Linked DNA regions of Arabidopsis thaliana. The protein of the gene in region 1 interacts with the protein of each later gene in a pairwise test. Each region holds a gene or a part of one and is shown in the gene's direction. Other genes may lie near its edges.

The links.
Region 2: the proteins of bHLH121 (region 1) and AT1G33470 interact in a two-hybrid assay, tested with the Arabidopsis thaliana proteins (one large-scale study listed by BioGRID).
Region 3: the proteins of bHLH121 (region 1) and WOX13 interact in a two-hybrid assay, tested with the Arabidopsis thaliana proteins (one large-scale study listed by BioGRID).
Region 4: the proteins of bHLH121 (region 1) and ATCTH interact in a two-hybrid assay, tested with the Arabidopsis thaliana proteins (one large-scale study listed by BioGRID).

The regions. Positions count from the first base shown.
Region 1 is NC_003074.8:6,901,371-6,907,514, forward strand, and holds bHLH121 (basic helix-loop-helix (bHLH) DNA-binding superfamily protein), read left to right. Parts: upstream 1-2,386; 5' UTR 2,387-2,471; coding exon 2,472-2,619; exon of another isoform or gene 2,620-3,115; coding exon of another isoform or gene 3,116-3,197; coding exon 3,198-3,305; intron 3,306-3,386; coding exon 3,387-3,514; intron 3,515-3,774; coding exon 3,775-4,236; intron 4,237-4,325; coding exon 4,326-4,493; 3' UTR 4,494-4,837; downstream 4,838-6,144. Other genes in the region: AT3G19870 (AP-5 complex subunit beta-like protein), read left to right, coding at 6,111-6,144.
Region 2 is NC_003070.9:12,142,092-12,148,469, forward strand, and holds AT1G33470 (RNA-binding (RRM/RBD/RNP motifs) family protein), read left to right. Parts: upstream 1-2,348; 5' UTR 2,349-2,540; coding exon 2,541-2,696; intron 2,697-2,782; coding exon 2,783-2,915; intron 2,916-3,261; coding exon 3,262-3,388; intron 3,389-3,482; coding exon 3,483-3,519; intron 3,520-3,592; coding exon 3,593-3,851; intron 3,852-3,923; coding exon 3,924-3,949; 3' UTR 3,950-5,117; downstream 5,118-6,378. Other genes in the region: AT1G33475 (SNARE-like superfamily protein), read right to left, coding at 5,332-6,099.
Region 3 is NC_003075.7:16,874,478-16,880,062, reverse strand, and holds WOX13 (WUSCHEL related homeobox 13), read left to right. Parts: upstream 1-2,611; 5' UTR 2,612-2,895; coding exon 2,896-3,118; intron 3,119-3,542; coding exon 3,543-4,040; intron 4,041-4,163; coding exon 4,164-4,249; 3' UTR 4,250-4,540; downstream 4,541-5,585. Other genes in the region: AT4G35540 (POLLEN-EXPRESSED TRANSCRIPTION FACTOR 2), read right to left, coding at 4,541-5,585.
Region 4 is NC_003071.7:11,038,980-11,044,203, forward strand, and holds ATCTH (Zinc finger C-x8-C-x5-C-x3-H type family protein), read left to right. Parts: upstream 1-2,351; 5' UTR 2,352-2,494; intron 2,495-2,586; 5' UTR 2,587-2,837; coding exon 2,838-3,785; 3' UTR 3,786-4,277; downstream 4,278-5,224.

The DNA.
Region 1 (6,144 bases):
AAGGAACTTATATACAAACGTCATCGAAAAATTGTATAAACTGGTCGCATGGACCAACTTGTAACCCTAGTGTGTAGACCATCTAAAATAGTGAAAATGTAATAATTTGTTGCCGTTTGTAATGAAAAAATTATTGTTCGTTATTGTTTAGTTTTTTTGGTATTAGATAATAAGATTCATTGCTTAATCGAAATGTACTATATGATATTAATTTTGGAGCAATTAGCTTGACATGCATAGTTTACTTCTTTACATTAGAAAACCTTTTTTCTAACATCGAACTTAAGAAAAGTTATATAAACTGCATTAATTGACTGCATGTTTATTTTGAAATCCATATAATCTTGTGTGCAGAGCACAAATCAATATGACGAGGCGTTGTTAGTTGTTACTAAAAATAACCAGGTGCAAAGATTGATTCCTTAATGCTTCATTGATCAGGATGGCCAAAAAATAAAATAAAAATTGGTGTTAGAGGAAGAAAAAAAAAATACAGTAGGTGGGTAAACAAACAGCAGGGAAATAGCTTACAATTTGTTGAGAATAATTCATAATTATGACCAACATTATTCAGGTTATTTGGGGTAAAGTAAAAATGTATTGCATCAAATCAAATAAGATTTACATTTTAGACAGTGAACTATAGGTCACGACTAATATCAAATATATATTTCCAGTAGCACAGAAAATGATGCTTCATGAACTCTCACTTATGACTTGTCAATAGCTCAAGGACTATGCTACTCAAGTTGTAATATATATATTCTGTATTTATATGCTGTTTTATACACACGTAACGTATATATGAATGTGCCCCCTTTGTTTTTATGTGAATTATAAATATTCTCCCTTTCTTGGCATTACATTATAAATTCGTAATACTATTATTCCACTTCCATGTAATTTCAAGAGTTTTCTTCCCTTTTTATTTGTAGAATATTTATATATCAGTTGCTTGTAAAGTTGGGAGTTTCACTTTCATTGCATGTGAATGGGCCGGGTAGGGTTTTATGACTCTAACGTTTGTGAATAAAGTCGACTACTTGCTTTTCATCATTATCCAAATCCAGCCATGTAAAATATATGTAATTGAAAACGATATATGTAACAAAAATGTTATAAAAAAAAGATACACCAATGTCGATATACATTACGACTCTTTGAGTACAAAATAAAAAAATATGACTAACTTCCGATAATAGTTTTTATTTATTATTAAAAATGAAGTTTCCAAATAAAATATCATTTTAATATCCATACAAATTATGAATAGTATGTGAGGTTTAGGGCAAAGTCTTCTGAGGGTTCATCAATGGGATGGGAGTGGGACGAAGAAACGAAGGCGACGAGAGGATTTAGGTTTTATTGTTTTAAAATTTTTGTGCTCTAGTATTTAAGCCCTTTAACAGGATTTTACAGGGACCAACAAAAATGTAAAGCCCCAAAGGAAGAAGCCCACTTAAAAAATACTAAAGTAAAAATAAATAATTAACAGGCCCATTTGGCCTCATCGACTAAAGCTAGCCCAAAAAGAGGATACAATAAAATTACATAAATTTTGTGTCCTTTTCGATTTAACTTTTTCTTTTAGAAGAACAATCCTTTGTTTTTTTGTGCAAATCTTTAGAATCTCGAGACCAAAACTTAAGTAATCATCAAAAATTTTGTCAAGTTTACATTTCTATGCCAAAAATTATACAATATCATAATGTTCAAGCAGTGCTCTAGAGAGCAAGAAAAAAATGGTTAAGACATAAAAACTAGTCGGCTAACACTGTTCAAGAACCATGATTTATTTGCTTCATCAACGAACTGATTATAATTCAAATATTACAACAGAGCGGCAAATCATTCGAAACGCGGTACGAACATTAAAATTTGATGTGCATTTTGGCCAAAATATTTGTTGATGGATTCAATTGGGTAGTGGAAGAAGAAACTGTCAAAGTACACCTACTTTGCAGTCAAGTTGTAAGAACATAAAGTACGTATTTTTTTACAATTTCTAAATATACTAAAAGCTTGCAGAAAGTATGTATATCTAGAAGTACGTATCTCTTACGTTTGTGAAAACTATTTTTATAATTTGACAATTTTAAATGATTTGATTATTACACAAAAATAGTCGAGGTTATGTAAAAATATTTTTTAAAATTTTCGATATTTTGTCCGGTACAATTATGTCACCATCTCGATTCAAGATATAAAAGAGTTAATTTAGTTTCACAATAAAAATCTCGTACTTACTTTTCAAACTTTATAATTGTGTTGGATAAAAAGTACAATTGAATCTTTTAAAATCAACAATGAGTGTCTGTTTTGATAAATGCATAAATTGGAGTGAAAAGAAAAAAACAATTCCAGCTTTTGCGAAGTTGGACATATTAAATTCTACACAATTGTTTTTTTTTAAAAATACAGAATTGTAGATAGAATGAATATTGTTTTTTTTAATTAAAATAATTGAAAAAATGGGGATAAGAGAAAATGGAATAATGCTTGTGAGCAGAGAGAGAGAGCGAGCGAGGAGGCTAGAGAATCGAGAATCGATCTTCGCCGAACCACCTTGTCTTCTCTTAGCTCATCGAATCTCTCCGTCGCCGTCGATTCTTCCCGCCGGTGAATCTCTGCCTTATTGTTTTCTTCAATTTGATCGTCCTGAATTCATCGTCCTATTTAGGGTTTCGATCACAATCTGGTACTTCTCTTAATCAAAGGAATTTTTATTTTGATTTTGAGGGTTTTATTGGTTTGAACTTAGCTCTCTAGCTCGTGAAAGTGTTGTTAGTTCGTCGTGGAAATCAATTCCTTCCCTGTGTTCTTCTTCAACAACGTTTAGTAATTTTTTCGTAGATGTTTAAATCTCTAACTTGTTGATAGAGATAGATGTTATTATTGCCAAATTAGGTGTACAAAAGAATGTGGAATTTTCTGTTTGAGATTAGCTTCTCTAGTAACCTTCTTTGCAATTCATGATGCCAATTGCTAAGTATGTAACTATGTCTGGTATGTGAGCTGGGATCATATGATACCTGACTATCGACTCAAAGAGAATTATGTTAAGTCAATCAAGGCTTAGTTCTGAGGCTACAGTGTGTGTGGTCGATGTGCTGTTATGGTGGAATTGGATACTAAAATATGTCTAAGAGTGGGACTGCAATATGACCTTCTTAGTTTATTCGATGTTTTGGTTGCAGAAGAGGAGGTCATGGACGTTTCTGCTAGAAAGTCACAAAAAGCTGGGCGCGAAAAGTTGAGGAGGGAAAAACTGAATGAGCATTTTGTTGAACTGGGAAATGTACTCGGTATAGACTCAATGGTTATGTGGATTTTTCTAAACAGCAGATGATCTCACTTTGATCCTCACATAGCTCTTCTGTTTGCAGATCCAGAGAGACCCAAGAATGACAAAGCCACGATTCTGACTGATACTGTTCAGTTGTTGAAAGAGCTCACATCTGAAGTCAACAAACTGAAATCTGAGTACACCGCATTGACAGATGAGTCCCGCGAGGTTCGTACCTTATCCCTTACGCTCCAGGCTTTTCCTAACAGAAAAAATTAGCAGTCTACATGACGTAAAGATATCGATAGGGATCCCAATATAGATAACTCATTGTCTTTTTGCTTTTACGATATGGTGACTACACCTATTTCGTAAGATGCAAACTCAGACGGGCTATATAATGTAACTGCTTATAGGACTTGTTGTTATCATCAATAGCAACACTTACAAATTTACTGGTACTTGTATAACAACGGTTCTTTCTGTAGTTGACACAGGAGAAAAACGACCTGAGAGAAGAAAAGACATCGCTGAAATCAGATATAGAGAATCTCAATCTTCAATACCAGCAGAGATTAAGGTCAATGTCTCCATGGGGAGCTGCGATGGATCACACAGTCATGATGGCTCCACCACCCTCCTTTCCATACCCTATGCCTATTGCTATGCCTCCCGGGTCAATCCCAATGCATCCATCAATGCCATCTTACACATACTTTGGGAACCAGAACCCTAGCATGATCCCAGCTCCATGTCCTACATACATGCCCTACATGCCTCCTAATACAGTCGTTGAGCAACAATCCGTGCACATTCCACAGAACCCCGGTAACCGTTCTCGGGAACCTAGAGCAAAGGTTTCAAGAGAGAGCAGATCTGAGAAAGCAGAGGACTCCAACGAAGTTGCAACACAACTCGAATTAAAAACCCCTGGATCTACTTCTGATAAGGTAGAGAGACTTAAAACTAGAAGCTAGAGATCTCCAATTTTTTTCGGATTTATTATCTTCACAGTTATTCGCGAAATTGTATTTTGAAGGATACATTGCAAAGGCCAGAGAAGACAAAGAGATGTAAGAGAAACAACAACAACAACTCAATAGAAGAAAGCTCTCATTCTAGCAAGTGTTCATCTTCTCCGAGCGTACGAGACCACAGTTCTTCCAGTAGCGTAGCTGGTGGCCAAAAACCTGATGATGCAAAATGATTCGAAAGAATCTGATGTTGATCATCTCAAGTATCCAAGTATCGTTTCGATGAGTACTGTATATAGTGCGAGTACAAAATGCACTTAGCTGTTTAAAGCAGTGTTTTGATGCACCGTGGCATTCGTTTTCCTCGGATAGTCATTTCTCAGATGATTTTCATCCTTAATAGGTCTGCTTTAGTTCTAAAACTCGGATGATTTGTAATTTCCAGTGTCCAAATCTACTAATTTTATTAATCCTATAAATTAAACAAACTTATATCTTGATTTTTTTTTAAAAATCATAGATTATTTATACTATTGTACAAAAAGAATTACATTTAAATCGGTAAATATAGTTTCACCATAAATATATGGTTTCATTAATATCATAAATTAGTAATGATATAGATATATCAACAATATATATTTATATATATATTATATGTAAGAAATTTCTTTGAAATATATTTTTAATATTTAGTTCTCATTTGTACTTATTTGAATTTAGTTCTAATATTTTACTGTATCAAAAAAAATTTGGTGTTATTTTTTAGACATGAGAATTATTTTTTACTTATAATTAGTTATAAAAAAAATATTTTTTATAATGAAAGAAATCTTATAGTAAAAAATTACTATGAAAAATTTCTTTATAAATTAATAAAATTTTAGAATCCCAACATTATTAATTTGTAAAGGTTTTACTGTAGTTAAGTTCAAGTTCAATTTAAGCTGGTGCTAAACGTTAGCTACGTGTTCGTATGATGTCAACTGTCTAGATACAGGAAAATTTCTCCGAATATACAGCGACTACACATCAACCATAGAGAACAGTATGAAGTAAATATACCCTCTATCCATCGCATATGTAGTTTGTGGGAGTGCTCTGTTGGTTTCGCTTTCCTCTGATGTTGTATACCCTGTATTGTCAAATATGACTGCGACACGGTTCCCACTCATCTCATAGACCGCTAGATAATAGTCTGCATGTATATAAAATAATTGTTAAAGACAAAACATAGGGCATACCCAATATCCTTTGTGCATAGTATTTAGTATGTCATGGAAGTTAACTAGGTCTTTGAGAGTTCGAACGCCATGAAGAGCAAAAGAAAGAGAGGAAATACGGAAGAGAAAGACAAAACAAACTAAAAACCAAAAGACATTTGACCTATCGTTTCTGTTTCACAGGACGACCATAAGATGTAAAAGTCTTGCCCATCCATTCCACAACCCATTATCGATTCACAAGGCAACATAAGAAGAAGTTTACATTTCGATGAGCTAGAGCAATTCTCTAGCGCAGATCACAAACAACCAACTCCAACCTCTGGTTATACTATCCAAGATTTTTACAGGATGGTGCCTGAGGCTGCCAGGTTTCGAAGGAATAAAGAGTTTTGGTGTAGCAAGAAAAATTAAGTTACAAGACACTAATTATATTGTAGATAGAGACAGAATTGAAATAAAATATGGAACATAAATAAATAATTAGATAAATGAGTCAGCAGCTTCGGTGAATTGTTCTGTATCTCGGAGTATTACTGCCGGCGACGAGGATAGTCTTATCTTCTCCTCTCTAATGACTTTGATTCATTTTCCTCTTCAGATTCAAATCCTAGATTCAATCGGAGAATGACCACGACGACGCCGGAGAAGACTCCGGCGA
Region 2 (6,378 bases), on another chromosome or scaffold:
ACACTCCTTCCTTTGAGCACATCTAAAGCTAATTTTATCTTTTTCCCACCTATTTTGTTTAGCATTTATCCTATGCTTCATTGCATAATGCAAGACAACCTCTTTGAATTCAAAACCAGTGAAGAATGTTCTGCCTATAGCTAACCTATCATCCGAAGCTAACCTAATCTTCCTATCTCTAGTGATCACATGATCTTCTTCTTCATTATCACTTTCTGGTATTTCGTTCCTTCTAATCTTTAACTCATCATACCACATAGCTACTGCTTCCTCTATCTCGAACTCAAACCTCTCGGCCAAATCTTCTTCCGGCTCATCCTTCTTCTGTTTTCTCCTCTTCTTTTGACCTTCTTCAGCCTCTTCCTCCTTTCTTTTCTCTTCTCTCGTCCTCTTCTTTTGACTTTCATCTCTGTCTCCATCGTCTTCTAGATTGATGTCTCCATCAGACGCTATATCACCATCGTCTTCTCTATTCTCCTCTCCATCAGATTCTCTGTCTCCATCTATCCCGACGTCGTCTCCCTCAACTCCGGTGGCTTCGTCCTCCTCGACTCCGCTATCACCACTATCACTTCCATCGTCGGCTTCAATGTCACTCTCTGGAGGTTCGAAATCGGGGTCATCTGGATCGATTTGGTAAATCAATCCTTCCTCCCACCAATTCTTCATTTCTCCCTATTCGAAACCCAAATCGAGACCCAGAAATTCGAATCGAAGAAGAAAACCCCAAATCTCCTTTTGTCTTTCTCTCTCAAGAACCCTAATTTCACAGTGTCGAGATTAAAGAAGAACGACCAAATCGATTTGAGAGTTAAAGAAGAATGAAAACGACATCGTTTTCTTTCTCTTTTTGATGAGTTAAACGAAATGAAAACGACGTCGTTTTCTTAACGGGTCTGGGTATTAGTCGGGTTAATCGCAATCGCGGTACAGTAAACGCAGATTTGTGGTTAATCCCGGTTAAATGAATGGTTCAATTGGAAATGTATGTTTAAGCATGAATTCGAAAGTAGATAATGTAATTTTGAGGAATATGAAAGTTGATGGTGGAAATTTAAGGGCCCAAAAGTCCGGGGTGAAAGCTGAGAATCGAAATAATTTATGGCTCAAAAATCAGTCATACTAACATTGTAATACAAAACATGATTTTGTAAGATTGATCTAGTTTTAGAAAAATCACTTTTGGCTGAAGATAATAGGACCGACTTTTTCTTGTTGTAGTTGTGAGATCTCATAAAGAAGAATTATAGACTTAAGTGTTATATTAACCAATTTTTAATTTAATTCTTCATATACATTATCTATCTTATTAAGTTTGGCTGGAAAAATCTGTAAGTCAGTAAATGTTTACTTCAAAATGTAGAATTCATAATTTTGTATTTAGAATAGTAGAATTTATCTCCAAATTAGTAAACTAGATTTTAGATTGTCATGAAAAGTGATACAAACCAATAATTTTTTTGTAAACTAAGATAGTGGAAAAATCTGTAAGTCAGTAAATTTTTTTGTAAACGAAGACCAATAATTCTTCATAATTTTTTTTAACGAATAGAAAATTAATAAGCGTTATAGTTAAAAACAGGAAGGAATAATGATATTAAAAAAAAAACTATTTGTAAACTAAGATTACCTTTTTCGTAACATTTTGCTCATTTTTTTTTGTAAATGAATGTAAATCGGCATAATTTTAATCACTAAAATTCTGAAATATTTTGCTAACTATCAATCAATTTTAGATTTGATTTGATTTACATATAAATATGTAGGCTAACACATTAAATCATGTTCTAAGAAATATGCATATGCATGAATCATTTGATGTCTTACAAATAAGTTACACAACTTGTGTGCAATCATAATATGGATTCTTATGAAGATAATAAAAAATTAAAAGGTTGGTATATTAATTTTTTTGACCAACTTTTGTGAAAATGTTAAAATGCTAAATATATTCAGTAGTTCAACTTATTTTGAGGGATATGTAAACTAAAAAAAAAAAAAAACTCTTTTGAGCTATAATTTAATATTGGTCAAAAAAAAATGTATTTTTTTATATATAGTATATCTCTGTTAGTTATATTTTTTTTTTTTTGTGTATGTTATTTCTCGGTTAGTTATTTGCTAAGGGAAAGTTTTTTTTGTTGAATATCTTTTTTTGGTAGAATTAAAAATACAGAAAATTTCAATTTTAAGATTTTCCACCAATATAAAAGACCAAAAATTAAATAATAGCTAAAATAAATGTTTTCCAACTGTAAATCTATTTTACAGAGTGGATCCGACCAACAAGAAAAAAGTGTACAAAAACACACAGTGACCGTACATAAAATAAAAAAAATGTCATTGATATTTGTGAAAAGCTAAGTTAAATAATTCAATGAGTGTGTCCCCAAATTCTCTCTTTTTTCCCTGAGACTTTTCCTTGAATCCTCTTCCCTCCTCCTTCTTCTCTCTCTCTCGTTTCTCAACTACCGTCTCTCTGCTTCTTCTGTTCCCAAAACCGGAAACTTTACTTCGTGGAATTTTCCCTTGTTTCTGAAATGGAAGACACAACATTTACCAAAGTGTTCGTTGGAGGATTAGCTTGGGAAACACACAAAGTCTCTCTCAGGAATTACTTTGAACAGTTTGGTGACATTGTTGAAGCTGTCGTTATCACTGATAAATCTAGTGGTAGATCTAAAGGCTATGGCTTTGTAAGTTTCTTCTTCTTCTTGTTTCTTTTTACTTTGGAGATTTGTTATAGCTTCAAGCTCACGGGTTCTGTTTTTTTTTTGTAAAGGTTACTTTTTGTGATCCGGAAGCAGCTCAGAAAGCTTGTGTAGATCCAGCTCCTGTTATTGATGGAAGAAGAGCTAATTGTAATCTTGCTGCTTTTGGTGTTCAGAGATCCAAACCTTCTTCTCCTATTCATGGTACTTTTAGGTTTCTGTCTTTTGATACTTTACTTTTGAAAACCCTACATCAAGAGTATATGTAAATCCATGGATCTTGCTGGAATTGTATGTCTTGAATCACATGTCTCACATATTAGTAGCAAAGTTAGATACTTTATGAATTGTCTTACTTTATTGTTTGAGGTATAGCTTCATCTTGATTCCTTAGTTGATTCAGTAAAGCCATTTTCTTGCTCACTAGTCTTTATAATTCTTCTGCAGACTACACTAGTTAGTTAAATCTTCTGGTTAAATATGTTGTGTTTTGTTCTTGTCTGAAAGCAAATGTTTGAGAGGAGATTCTCATGTTGTTGTGTTATGGCAGGACATGTAGGAGGAAGAGGCATGAAGGTGACTAGCCCTTTCAAGACACACTTTGGGACCGCGGCTACTGCTATTCCTTCCCCACTTCCATTCTCCCACTACACACTTCCTTACACTAATCCTTTTGGGTACTCCACGTTTAATCTCTTACTTGATTTTTCTATACTCATCACTCTACTTAGACTGATAAATCCTCTGTTTGGTTTCATTAAACTTTCTTAGGTTCTCTTCATACTCAATGGATTACAATTACCCCACGGTATGTATATTGTAAGAGTCTCTCCCTACTCTACTCTTATCTCTTATAGCTTATTGGATTATTGTTTTTACAGCAGAGCTATTACAATGTTTATGGAGGGGCAACTGCTCAGCATCCAATGTATGGAAGCGGACCAATGACTGGTGTAGCAGCAGCACCAGCAGCAGGGTTCTACCCATATCTCCAGTTTGCTGAAGGAAATGGACCTGTCACTGGTTATGCTCCCCTCCACTACCCCAACCACATGTTTCACTATTCTGCTCCCGGGGGAAACTACCCGCATCACAATGGTTCACCAGTGTCTCTTGCACCTTCACCAGTCATACCATCAGGTTAGTTTCTTTATATTTTTTCGTTGTTCATACACAACATGGAAAACTAGAGGTACTGATGTTCTCCAGCAGTTTGCTTTGCAGTTCCACAGGCTTGACCATGAAGGCTCGTGGTTCATAGTTCCATGATGCTATGTAGGGGACCAATTCATTTAAATCCTTAAGGCAAAGCTTTGTTTACTACTTTCATCCACATGCCTCTGAAGTTTCACAAGACCTGTGGCCTAACCATGGTTGCCCTTTTCCCTTTATGCTTCTAACCCATTAGACAAAGAAGCCCATAATTTGGAGTTTGGGCGTCTTTGCAAGTTCTAGTTAAGTCTCACATAGGGGTTTAACTAGGACCATCTTCATACACATTACTCATCTTTTCATTTTATTCATTGCATTACCTGCTTTCTGAACGAAGGTTTCGTTCAAGATAGCTTGTTCGAGCTGTAGAAGTAAACAGTTACCGTCTTTTGCACAGTGCCTCGCAAAGGCAAGCAATTTTGTAGAAAAACTTAAAAACTTAGGATTGGCTGATCAACAAGAAAGGAAATAAGGATTTCCCGGGAAAGGCACAAGAAGTGAATTGCCACCACCTGGAAGTGTTGAAGTAGTGTGTGCAAAGGTGTGCACACTACTTCACGCTATATCCATTTTAATGTGCAGTCTTAGGATTATTAGATCTAGGACCATGTTGTTACACATTGTCTTGTAGTAGAACGCTAGAACATAAACTTCCTTTGAGGATAAAGGAATTGCTAACACATGTATATTCTCGGTGGCTAAGCTTTGGAGTTATAGCCACACTTGAGCTAACTTAGATTAAGATCATTTTTAAGATTCAAAATTTAGATTGCTCATCATATCTTGAACCAACCCCACTAATGGATTGTGGGGTTCTTGCATTTGCATGTATTTTTGCCTCTTGGGAGATATTTTGGTTCCCTTTAGGTTCTTCTCATAACAATCAACCAAACCAGTTGACCAACCATGGTTAGGAATTTCAGGTGAGAGGTATTCATCACCTCTTTATCTCTCTTTTGTACTTCTTTCCTCTATTTCTTCAAGACTAAAAACTCTCTTTTTATGTAATTTGTTGTTATATCTTGTAAGCTGTGTGTTTCTGATTCTATGTAAGAAAACTAAAAGCTTTCAGTTTCCATCCTCGGTGGTTGGAAAATGAAACTGTGATTGCAATATTTTACTTTGATCTGATATATAATCCTCTTGTATGAGGTTATGACAATGTCTCCTACTATATGAATCCCTACTTTCATTATCTTGATGCCAAGAGGCCTTACTACAATCATTCAGCAACAGACTGGTTTTTATGTACAACTATAAGAACAAAATCATCATATTATACACAAACCAACGTAGGAACTTGAGACCTATACCTAATATACAATCAACAATGCTGCAGAATATTTCAAACTGCAATCTCTACAACATAACTGCAGAAGAGGAAAATGCATATGGAAGAATAAATAGATCAAGAACGTGTACACTCAATGCCATGACAAATAGCCAACCAAACACCAAGCAGCGTTAAGCAAATAGCTATATCAATGGCAAGAACAATCTTCACTTGACGCCGCCACTTCCTCTCAATGCTCTGAGAGCCACCAGATCGTCCCCTTCTTGGAACATACGTTGCTGATTCAGATGAAGCATTAGAACATTCTGTTACGTTTCCTCTATCATTTGATTTTCGGTGTTCCTCTATCTCAATACCTCTTAGTGAGTGCGCATGATCTCTCCCTTTCTTCTTATCTTGCTTGTTGGATCTTCCTAAAAGAGGAGCTTTGGAGTTAGATGCGTAGCTTTGTTCAGCACCATCAATGGAAGGTGATGATAATGGAAGACAAGTGTGATCAAACTCTAATGAAGCTATGAGTCTTCGGACAATTTGGTCTTGAACATTGCTAAAACTGATACTACCAGAGAAACTTCCTCTAGAATTCTTCTTATTAGCTTCTTTTAACTCATCTCTCAGTTTTTCAAGAAAATCAAGAACGCTAGATTTCTTGAAAACATCATCAACAATGGCGAAATAAACGAAGTCATCTTTCATCAAGAATCCAAAAGTCTTCTTACCCCTCGTTTCGAAGTACCACTTGTGAAAAGGTGGAGTCTTTTCCAAGCATAACGCTGCAAGACTCTCGTTGTTGCGGTGGTCTCCGGCATTGTTGTAAGCGTACATAATCTGATTGTCTCTTGAGACACAACAGTAGTGAACTGTGTTTTGGATTGAACCCATGTTGGAACTTTAGATAAGGGGCAGCGATGAGCAAGAGAGTTTCAAAGAATATGTAAGTTATGAAGTCAAGTCTCTGGTTTAAGATCCTTATCTTTGCCAAGAAACAACGAAAGGAATCTTGAAAAGGACTAAACAGAAGATCGAATGTTAGAGAAAGAAAAGGTATTAAAGCAGAGAGAGAACAATACAAGCTTCTCTTACCCAACCTTTGACTCTGCTTTATCTTTTTCTCTTTTCTAATACCTTATCTTCTTGTTTTTGACTTTTTTCAGACTAAGA
Region 3 (5,585 bases), on another chromosome or scaffold:
TTCCTTGAATAGCTTTTGTTTTATATATTATTGGATTTCTCAACTTTATTTATCCACTTTGAATTGATAACTACAACTCTACAAGCTACAGCCATCCTAACGAAAACTGAAATATCTTATTCTCCTTTTAAAGTGAAACGTTGTTCTCGTTCACCATCAAGAAGGATAATATATACAACAAGATCAAGATAAGTAATACTAGTGAAACGGTTTCTGTAATGACATTAGAAAAACCGAGACACCAAAAAACGTGAAAACTTTAACAGAGATTCGGTTATTAGTGCGAAGTTCGATATTTGATCAAAATCAACACATTTGTAACGTCTAGATGGTGAGTAAACAGCAGCACACAATGACACACAAACAAAAAAAACACTAATCCATTATACAACAATTGATCCTACCGTCAACCTGGTGGGCTGAGATGGGCTGTTAGGAGATAATAAATATAGGCCTGGATAAATCATTTTTTAAGTACTGGTGCAATAAGTAAGTTGTCTTCACTTTGAGTTCAAGTTTTGTTCATACTGAAGCTTTTTTCTTTTTCTTTTCACAATCCTACTATATATATACGTTTTTAAGTAAGATTCACCGTATATATTTATTTTCTTTGGTAGGGAAAGATTCAGCGTATAATAATAATTAGCAGTGGTCAACAGGGTAAAAAACAACAGTAAGTAGATTTGTAAACCGGGATTAAGAATATAGATTTCAATGATAGGAAACAGAGAAGAAAGCATAAAATAAGGATAGAAGACAAGAGAAGCTATAGGTACACCAAACTCTCCAATCTAAAAGAAGAATCCAAAGAAAGCTGGGCCAAAGAGAATCCAATGGGTTATAATATGGCTCATCACTAAGTCAGTCATGTAATTAAGATTATGTATATATATATGGACAAATTTGTATGCAACTATTTTCATCTATATTTAAATTCCTTATCATTTGGTCGATTGATAATGCTTACGTAAATAATGTCTTGTTCTGGATATTTCCGTTTGTGTCTCTATATTGTCCCGGTGGTTGAATGTTCTACTCCTAGACATAAACTAGAAAATAATCATCTAATGTATAATTTTAAAAATAAATGATTATTATACTGGTAAATTTTTTAAATTAATGAGCTTTGTTAGTAAAAAATCTCAACTTAATTAATCAAAAAATCATCTAATGTAAATTATTCTTTTCTGTAATATATATATATATATATATATATATATAATTCAAGTATTAGAATATTTAAATTTTGTGAGTATTAATCTAATTTTCCTATCATCTAATGACAATAAATAAAATGTATCTATATTTGTGTGAATATGGACTTTTTGGTATTTAGATAGACTGCTTCTGCTTGGTCTCGATACTTGACTTAGGGTCGCACATGCAAACCTCATTATTTTCTTCCATAATGTTGACAATTAAAAAAATTACCGAAACGAAAACACTTTCCGGAAAAAACGATGAGGCGTTATATCATTTAAAGAAAAAACGACGATACTAATTAAATAAACAAAAGTTCCGATAATTTTTACGTATAGGTTACGAAGACAATGACTTGAATAGAATTGTGAAGCAAGTATAAATTTCAAGTTTTGGCTGAAAAATTAAAGTAATAATTTGTGTATTAGTGTAAAAAAAAAAGTCACAGAATTAAGTAGAAGAGCTAATTATTTACACGTTCCGACAAAACACTACTACGCCCCCGACTACGATACGGCATGAGTCATGACCACATATTATATTTTTCTTTATCTTCATGTTTTTGTCGACCATGGTCACATTTCATTGTTTGGCCTGGTTATTCGACAGAGATCAATTTTATTGGCAATTAATGAGTCAGATTAGATCATATTAAAATCTAAGTGCGCCCGTGGAACATGGGCGGCGGACACCGACCACCTACAAATTCTACTGTTTAAACGACACGTGGAAACTATTTATTTTCTTTTTGGGTCGCCGCTCCTTAACTTATAAGTCCTGACTGGCCCAACAATTTTTTTTTTCTTTTTGGTTTTTCTTAAAGGTTTCTTATTGAATTAGATGATAGGGATTGCAAAAGACGGTGAAGCTAATACTCTTCTATAGAATAATTGAGAAAAATATAACCTAGAATGTGTCAGAAAAGTTAGATCGCAACCAAAATTTATCAATCAACGGAATGTCAGTTAATCGGTCAGGAAAAGAGGCAATTAAAAGTGTTTATTTATTTTGCCACAAGTGCTCTTTATCGCATTTTTAAAAAGTTGTATACCACCATTTTGACTGTTGACCCAAAAATATAACACAAATTGGACTAAAAAAGCATAAGGAAAAAACTTTTCGGTGTAAACAAAATACATAACTTGAAGAATGGATATTGAAAAGAAAAAAGTAATTCAGTTTCTTGAAAAGTACCAACCAACGACTATAAAAAAAAACTAACAATCTACTTCATTGATACGATCAAACTAGCTGTTAATATTTGTATCAAGTCGATTGCATCCAGACATGTTATTTCCATAAAATAAAATAGCAACGGCTCTCTCCAACTATAAATCAAATAACATTTAGATTATGGTAATGTAAATATTCAGATATGGAAGTAGCCGTTTAACCGTATGTGAAATCTCAAACGGTCAATTTCCAAATTAGGAACTAAAATAACCGTTGGTTAAATAGTTTCCTTTAACGATTGTCAAAGAATCATTACCGTCTTCTTATTTGTCTTTTCCTTTGTAATGAAACTATATATTATAATTTCAATATAGAACAAAAGAATAACATAAATTAAGTTTTTTTTGTCCTTTTCTGCCTTTACCTTTCCTTCTACTCCCGAAAAAGCACTGACTTTGCTCTGTTTCCTTCGTTCACACAGAGAAAGAGAGAAATCTTCTGAGCGAAATTCTGACAAAAGAGATGATGGAATGGGATAATCAGCTACAACCCAATAACCATCACTCTTCTAATCTTCAAGGGATCGACGTTAATGGCGGCTCCGGCGCCGGAGGAGGAATGTACGTGAAGGTGATGACCGATGAGCAGTATGAAACTCTCAGGAAACAGATTGCTATTTACGGCACCATTTGTGAGCGTCTTGTTGAGATGCATAAAACTCTCACTGCTCAACAAGATCTTGCAGGTTTCTATCCTTTCTTCTATCATTTAGTTTCTTCTTCTCTGTTCATCTAAAGATAAAAAAAGGACTCCTTTTGAAATTTTTAAAAAAATTCAGAATTTTTGTGTGGTTTAATTGATTTTTTAGTGATTCTTCTTCACTTTGGTGTATGGGTAATTGAAAATTCTCTGCCTTTTAAGCATTTGTTGGCTTAAATCTGATTCAAAGACCAATCCTTTTCGTGGATTTTTGAGCTAAGAATAAGGAAAATAATGGTTCTTGAGGAATTCTAGAATCACTCCTTTGAATCTTTCAATTGAGCTTCGAGAATTTCCCACCAAAATAGGTGTTTTTAGCTTGATGATGTGTTCTTGAGATATAAAGTTTCAGTTTTTTTATTTAGTTTAACTTTTAACAACTCTGCTCATTTGTCTGTTGTTGGTAACAGGAGGGAGAATGGGAGGACTATATGCAGACCCAATGATGTCATCTTTAGGTCATAAGATGACAGCTAGACAGAGGTGGACTCCTACGCCAGTCCAGCTTCAGATTCTGGAACGTATATTCGATCAAGGCACGGGAACACCGAGCAAGCAGAAGATCAAAGACATAACAGAAGAGCTGAGCCAACACGGCCAGATTGCTGAACAAAATGTCTATAACTGGTTCCAGAACCGACGTGCTCGATCCAAGAGGAAGCAGCATGGTGGAGGTTCTTCTGGAAATAATAATGGTGAGTCTGAGGTAGAGACTGAAGTTGAAGCATTGAATGAGAAGAGAGTAGTGAGGCCAGAGAGTCTTCTTGGTCTTCCAGATGGAAATAGCAACAATAATGGGTTAGGGACAACAACAGCAACAACTACTGCTCCTAGGCCTGAAGATCTTTGCTTTCAGAGCCCTGAGATTAGCTCAGACCTTCACTTGCTAGATGTTCTATCAAACCCAAGTAAGTAACAAAGATACCTTTTTAGTTCACACGTAACTGAAAAAAACAGAGACATTGGCTTTGAAGAAATAGTCAAGTAAGTTGTGTCTGTCTCAGATAATTTCTTGTGATTTGTGTTTGTAGGGGATGAGCATCTTGTTGGAAAGATGGGACTGGCGGAAAGTTACAACCTTTATGATCATGTTGAAGATTATGGCATGTCAGGCTGATTGAATACAAGCTGAGGAAACTTCTAATTATCAGAGAGATCAATGAAATGGATTTGGTAGTCAGTCATAAGCAGTATTAGACTTTTGTTTTTCTTAAATTGTTTCTTTCAGGGCTTATTAAAGAAACAAGTAGTTTATCTTATTAATCATTTTCAGAGAAACATTTACATGGATTGTTGAATCGTCTTGTGATGCTTGCTTTGATAATTTCTGCATTCAGAACGATTTTTACATCCTTAAATGAATTATACTGTAAGAAATAAAAAAATTCCAAGAGAAAAACATTTCAATTCAAACCTCTCCAGAGTTGAAAACATGCAAGTCTAACAAAGTTTTGTAATGGCCTTTCTCTATTTCTTCCTCATTCACATTGTGTAAGACCAGAGTCTGTATAACCAAATCCTCCCAATCAATTTCAGATCCTTTCTTCCTTTTCTTCTTGCTATGTTCAAGCTCCAAAGACAACGCACCTTCACTAACATTGTCAGAAGGATGTTGTATTGCATTAATCCGCAACTTAGCTGCCTTAATCTTTTCTCTTCGTCTTTCAACTGCAACGCAACCCTTTATGTAAGAAGGAGGCAAAGCTTCAAGCCCTACATCTTTCTCCAACAAGTCTTTGAGCAAAAGCCTTTTACTCAATTCCGATTTCCCTTTCCACCAATTTTCAGTTGACACCATTCCAAAAACAGATCTCCTTTGCCACATACTCTGACTACTTCCCTGACTTCTTTTCGCAAGAGTCCCACCACAAACTCGATCCTCAAATTCATTATACTTTGTAGACAACTGATTCTCCGATATATTATCATCATAGTTACATAAACTAAGCTGACGTTCACCTTCTACATCAAAATACCGAGACATAGTATCTTGACGAGCATCATCATCATAACAATACATAGATTCTTTGCTTAGGCAGTCCATCACTAAATCCTCCACACAAAATCCATCAGTTCTAACTAATTCTTTCCCAGTCCCTTGTTTTCTCTTTTTCATGGACTTGGCTTCCATTAAAGCAAACAAAGTTCCTGAATGTTTCAAAACATTCTTCACAGTAACATCTTTCGCCCAAGGCAAACCCACCTCTTCAGCAACCTTCACAAGCTTCTCAGATAACTCTTTATACCGCGTTTTACAAGTAGTCAACGAAACACTAGCATCTTTCGCCAAATCATCAATCTTTACCTTCACACCATTCACTTGAACAACAAACGCCAAAACAGCCACAACCAAAGGCATTGGTCTCCTCCCCGTCGACAAAAACCATTTCAACGCACAATTCATCAGGAAAGTCCCTTGCTTTATTATCTTCTCCTTCTTATCCCTATCAACA
Region 4 (5,224 bases), on another chromosome or scaffold:
CACCAGATTGTTTAGATAAATGTTAGGATATATGTGGAAGCAAAGGAATGATGTGGTTCACAACCAAGTCTCGATCCCAATATCAACTATCTTCAAGCTCATCGACAAAGAGATTCAGAACGTAAGCACCGCAAGACGTAAATGCAAGCGTTATTGCAACCTAATGCAAACTCTGGTTAATTTTAACTCCCACTATGTAATGTGACTTCTACATCATTTGTCTCTTTGTTTAATTTTTTGGCCAAAGATTCAAATCCATTGATATTCAGAGACAATAGTCTATATGGATTTATTAGATATAGTCTATATGGACTTATTAGATGATATTAACATTCATAGAGAAAACAACAAATTAGGATACGTTTTCTTTCTAATGAGAAAGTGAATGTACGAATGGTTGTTGGGAGGCTATTGTGTCTCGTAGATATTTTAAATAATTTGAATGTTTACTAATATAGAATGTGTATTCAATTATAACTATTTAAATTATTTTATTGTTGGTTTAGACGCATTCTTAAACTTTCACATCATTCTCTCGTGACTATTATAATAGTTATCGTGCTCGATCAATCATCTCGTGACTATTATAATTTTATCAATAGTTTATGCATAAGAGAACTGATAACGATCATACTTCTTTTTGTCATTATGATAGCTTATGATTAATCATTGTTTATCCATACTTGACGCTTGTAAGTGAAACATATGTTTAAATTTTCAGGCTTAATTTAATAGCCACGAACCAAAAATTATCTTATAATAAAAGTTTGGTGCGATTTAAGAAGATTTGTCCCCAAAGCCCTATCTGAAAGAGGTCAAATTGGATTATTAAATTCAACATATTAATCAATTTGATATTTGTTTAATGGTCTGATTAGTGACAATTATAAGTCTAATATTGCGAATCTTTTGCAGTGAGTATTCCACGTGATATAGATAAGTTTCCCTTAATGGATAACCTTTGCATCAAACAATTAGAAAACAAATGGAAGAGTATCAATCAAGTAGATCTCGAAGCAGTGGACCCTAACACGATACTGGAACATGGACCAAACCTTAAAATATCGTCCAAATTGCTTATTTTCTGGAAGGTTACAAGTGCACAACACTCTAATAATATATGCCCCGCATAACAATTTTTAAAACTATTTCATCTTAGACCTCGGATATTTTGAAGGAAGCACATTTTCTTGAAAATCACTAGGTGACTTGTGTTTCTTTCTTTGGAGCATGTCAATTTACTCCCATCAGCTGGAGAGCCAAAAGTTAAAATTAATGTTCGAAATTTATTTCATAAAAGCTACGTACGTTGCATCCTTCCATGATCTAGAAAAAATGGGGGACAATAACCAAATTTATTCACTCTTGTCAGGTCATGGGGAGTAGTCTACGACCTTGAAAGTCACGTGACAAGTAATATATACTGTACCGTCCAAATATTTTCTTACTGTAATGTCTTATGTTTCATATCGCTAGACCCTTAATATTAGTGTGGACTAATTCATATAATTGCAAATAAAATAGTATGATTCTACGATTCTTCAAAATGATCTAATAGTTACAGTCTGGTCAAAATGATCTAAATCTTTATAAACAAATAACAGCTACGGAATAATTAACACAATTTTTGGTGATAAACTTTGAGTTATGATAGAAATTTTTTTTTTTTCAATTTTTAATGTGTATCTTAATTTCTTCAATTAATGTATCCCTATGTTTTATGTGACTATATAACTTTTGGTTAGTGATACTCCAAAAATGTTGTTTTAGGTTTTGACACACATATTAATAATTTGTTTTATTTTTTACTTTACAAAATTTCTTATTGGTTAAAACATAAATCACTGCAAATAAAACTTTAATTTTGTTTGTAGTCAAAATTAGCTTTTAAAAATGTAAATTGATATTTATTCTAATTATTTTTTTAATGTTCTGACAATTAATTTAAAACGGAAAGCGTAATAAAGTAGATGTTGGGGCTGATTGGTAACGGCTGTTACTTTTGAACTCTAAATATTTCGGATGTTACGACTTTGACTGTAAAAATTTTGGTTGTAAAAATTTTGACGATAGAAACTTTAACTGTTAAAGTCTGATTGGTACAAAAAAATCACAATTATTTTTATTATTATTTAATATTTTTTATAAATATTATTTATGCTAAAAAATCAATTTATTTGGTAAAATAGTAACTAAAATAAATTTATTTTAAAAAAATACAAAATTCATTTTACAAATTCACTATTTTAAATATTTAAATTGGATCTGAAAAGAACAGAAAAAATAAAATTCGAATTAATCAATCGATTTTTTAATGATAAAATATAAATAAATTTGAAAAGAGTTTTGAAATTTTATGGATAAAGAAAAAATATTTTTATTTTGTTTTATTATTCTCTTTTAAAGTTAAAGACTTTAGGAAAAAAACAAAAGAAAAAAAGTAAATGGAGAGAAAAAAGCTTTTAAAACTTTAAAAATTAATAAAGTTTTAAAAGTGTGATTGATTAAAAAATAAATTTGAAAATTTTTAAATATTTTTAAAGCTTTGAAAACATTTTTTTTTTTTTTGGGGGGACAAATATGAAGAAAAAAAAAAAAAAAAAAAGACGAACATGAAGGGGAAAAAAACAAAAGACGAACAAAAATTGGAGATTTTTTCTTACACGTGTCATCATCTGCAGATTTGCGCTTATTAATTGTTTACCGTACGGTATTGTGGATAGGGTCAAGATTTTCATAACTTTACCGTAGTTAATATTTGACCCAACCATGGTTAAAATAAAGCAGTTTATATCACAGACACACACCTCTCTCTCTTCTAGACTCACTAAACAAAAATGATGATCGGCGAAAATAAAAACCGGCCACATCCAACGATCCATATCCCTCAATGGGATCAAATCAACGATCCAACGGCCACAATCTCTTCACCATTCTCTTCCGTCAACCTTAACAGCGTTAACGACTACCCACACTCTCCGTCACCGTATCTCGACTCCTTCGCTTCTCTCTTCCGTTACCTCCCGTCAAACGAGTTAACAAACGATTCAGACTCATCAAGTGGCGACGAGTCATCACCACTCACCGACTCATTCTCCTCCGACGAGTTTCGCATCTACGAGTTCAAAATCCGGCGATGCGCTCGAGGTCGATCTCATGATTGGACGGAGTGTCCGTTCGCACATCCCGGAGAAAAAGCTCGACGACGTGATCCGAGAAAGTTTCATTACTCCGGCACCGCTTGTCCTGAGTTTCGTAAAGGAAGTTGTAGAAGAGGTGATTCGTGTGAGTTCTCTCATGGAGTTTTCGAGTGTTGGCTCCATCCTTCTCGTTACCGTACTCAGCCGTGTAAAGACGGAACTAGCTGCCGGAGAAGAATCTGTTTCTTCGCTCATACGACGGAGCAGTTACGTGTATTACCTTGTTCGTTAGATCCAGATCTTGGATTCTTCTCAGGATTAGCTACTTCTCCGACTTCGATTCTTGTTTCTCCTTCGTTTTCACCACCGTCGGAATCTCCGCCGCTTTCTCCGAGTACCGGTGAACTTATTGCGTCGATGAGGAAAATGCAATTGAACGGAGGTGGTTGTTCGTGGAGTTCTCCGATGAGATCTGCAGTTAGGTTACCTTTTTCGTCGTCTCTGCGTCCGATTCAGGCGGCAACGTGGCCGAGGATAAGAGAGTTTGAGATCGAAGAAGCTCCGGCGATGGAATTTGTGGAATCTGGGAAAGAGCTGAGAGCGGAGATGTATGCAAGACTCAGTAGAGAGAACTCACTCGGTTGAGTCGACTTGGATCGAGTCTTTGATGACGTGGCGACTCGATCTGATTTTGTGAATATTTTAGAGATTTTTAAGGTGTTGTGGATAAATGACGTGGCGGGTCGATCTTAGTGACGGTACAATCGGACGATGAAGAAAAAAGCGTTAAGAGTAACAAAAAAAGGAAGAATTTGTAAAGAGATGATAATGAGAGAATTTGAGAGCTATTCTTCTGGCTTTTTTCTCTGCAGTTTTTTTTATTGTTTTCGTTATTTTCTTGTTTTTATTTTGGTTTTCGGCTTTATTTTGTTTGTTGTTTATTAATGTTATATCATTTTGTAATTAGTTCTCAAATGTATTTGGATAACATCTTAGTTTGAGACTTTAGAAAAGAACATTTCATTTGTTGTTTCCTTCTTATCGATTTCGTTGTTATAATAGTAAGAGGATATAAATATTTTTTGTTGGCCTGTTCTTTTTCCAAACGCTGCGATCATATCCAGCGACCAAAAAAACAGTTGCTTAACACACAATTACGTTGAAGTCTGTAGAAAGTTATGTGAAGAGGAGTCGCTCGATTTTAAAAACAGCGACCTATAAGGCATATACACGTGTCGCCAAAAAATAACAGCAACTTAACATTTTCACTAAGGACGCCGCCGGCGTCCATATTGAACGACTGTTTTTGTATCTCCGTTATAATTTTTGCTTTTCGTCGGAGTCCCTATTGCTGTCACAGCGATTAATAAACGAACAAGCCCAACAATTAATCAGAGAAAATAGTCTCGAGAAAATAACTCTCTTGCATCATATCTCTAATGAACATCAAATCTGCCTACAAATTCTATTTTTAAGTAAACATATTCCTTTTGACAAAAAAAAAAAACTATTTGGCTATTTCCAATGGTAGACTAGATCCACTCTGAAAATAGACTAATGACTAATGAATACTCATAATTTGGATAAAATTTTCATTTTCAGAATGATTTTCAAATTTAAATATGTTTTCAGTAATACACGAACAAATCTATATGTTTTAGGTATACATTGGGCATTTAATCAATACTAATATGGTTATCCAGTTAATTGAAATTTAAAAATACAACAATAATGTATTAAATTAAAAAATACAGTGACATAACAAACGATAATTTTATACATAATAAGTTATGAAATTTAACATAAAAACTCAAACAAACATAACAGAACATAGACTAGTAAACAGTTTTGTTTAAAAACTAATAACAAAAAAGAAATAGAATATGGTACACAAAAGAGAGTAATGGTAATCAATCCTATTTGCTTCGTGCAAATAGAGAGCATGAGACTCTTATTACTTACTTAGTTTGAGGAGAAAAGCTATGTTTTTTGTATTTTAATTATTAATTTTGAATAATGTATTGGTAGAACTTCTCTTATGAAATGAGATGTTTTTCTATTTTAATTTTCCTATTTATTGATTA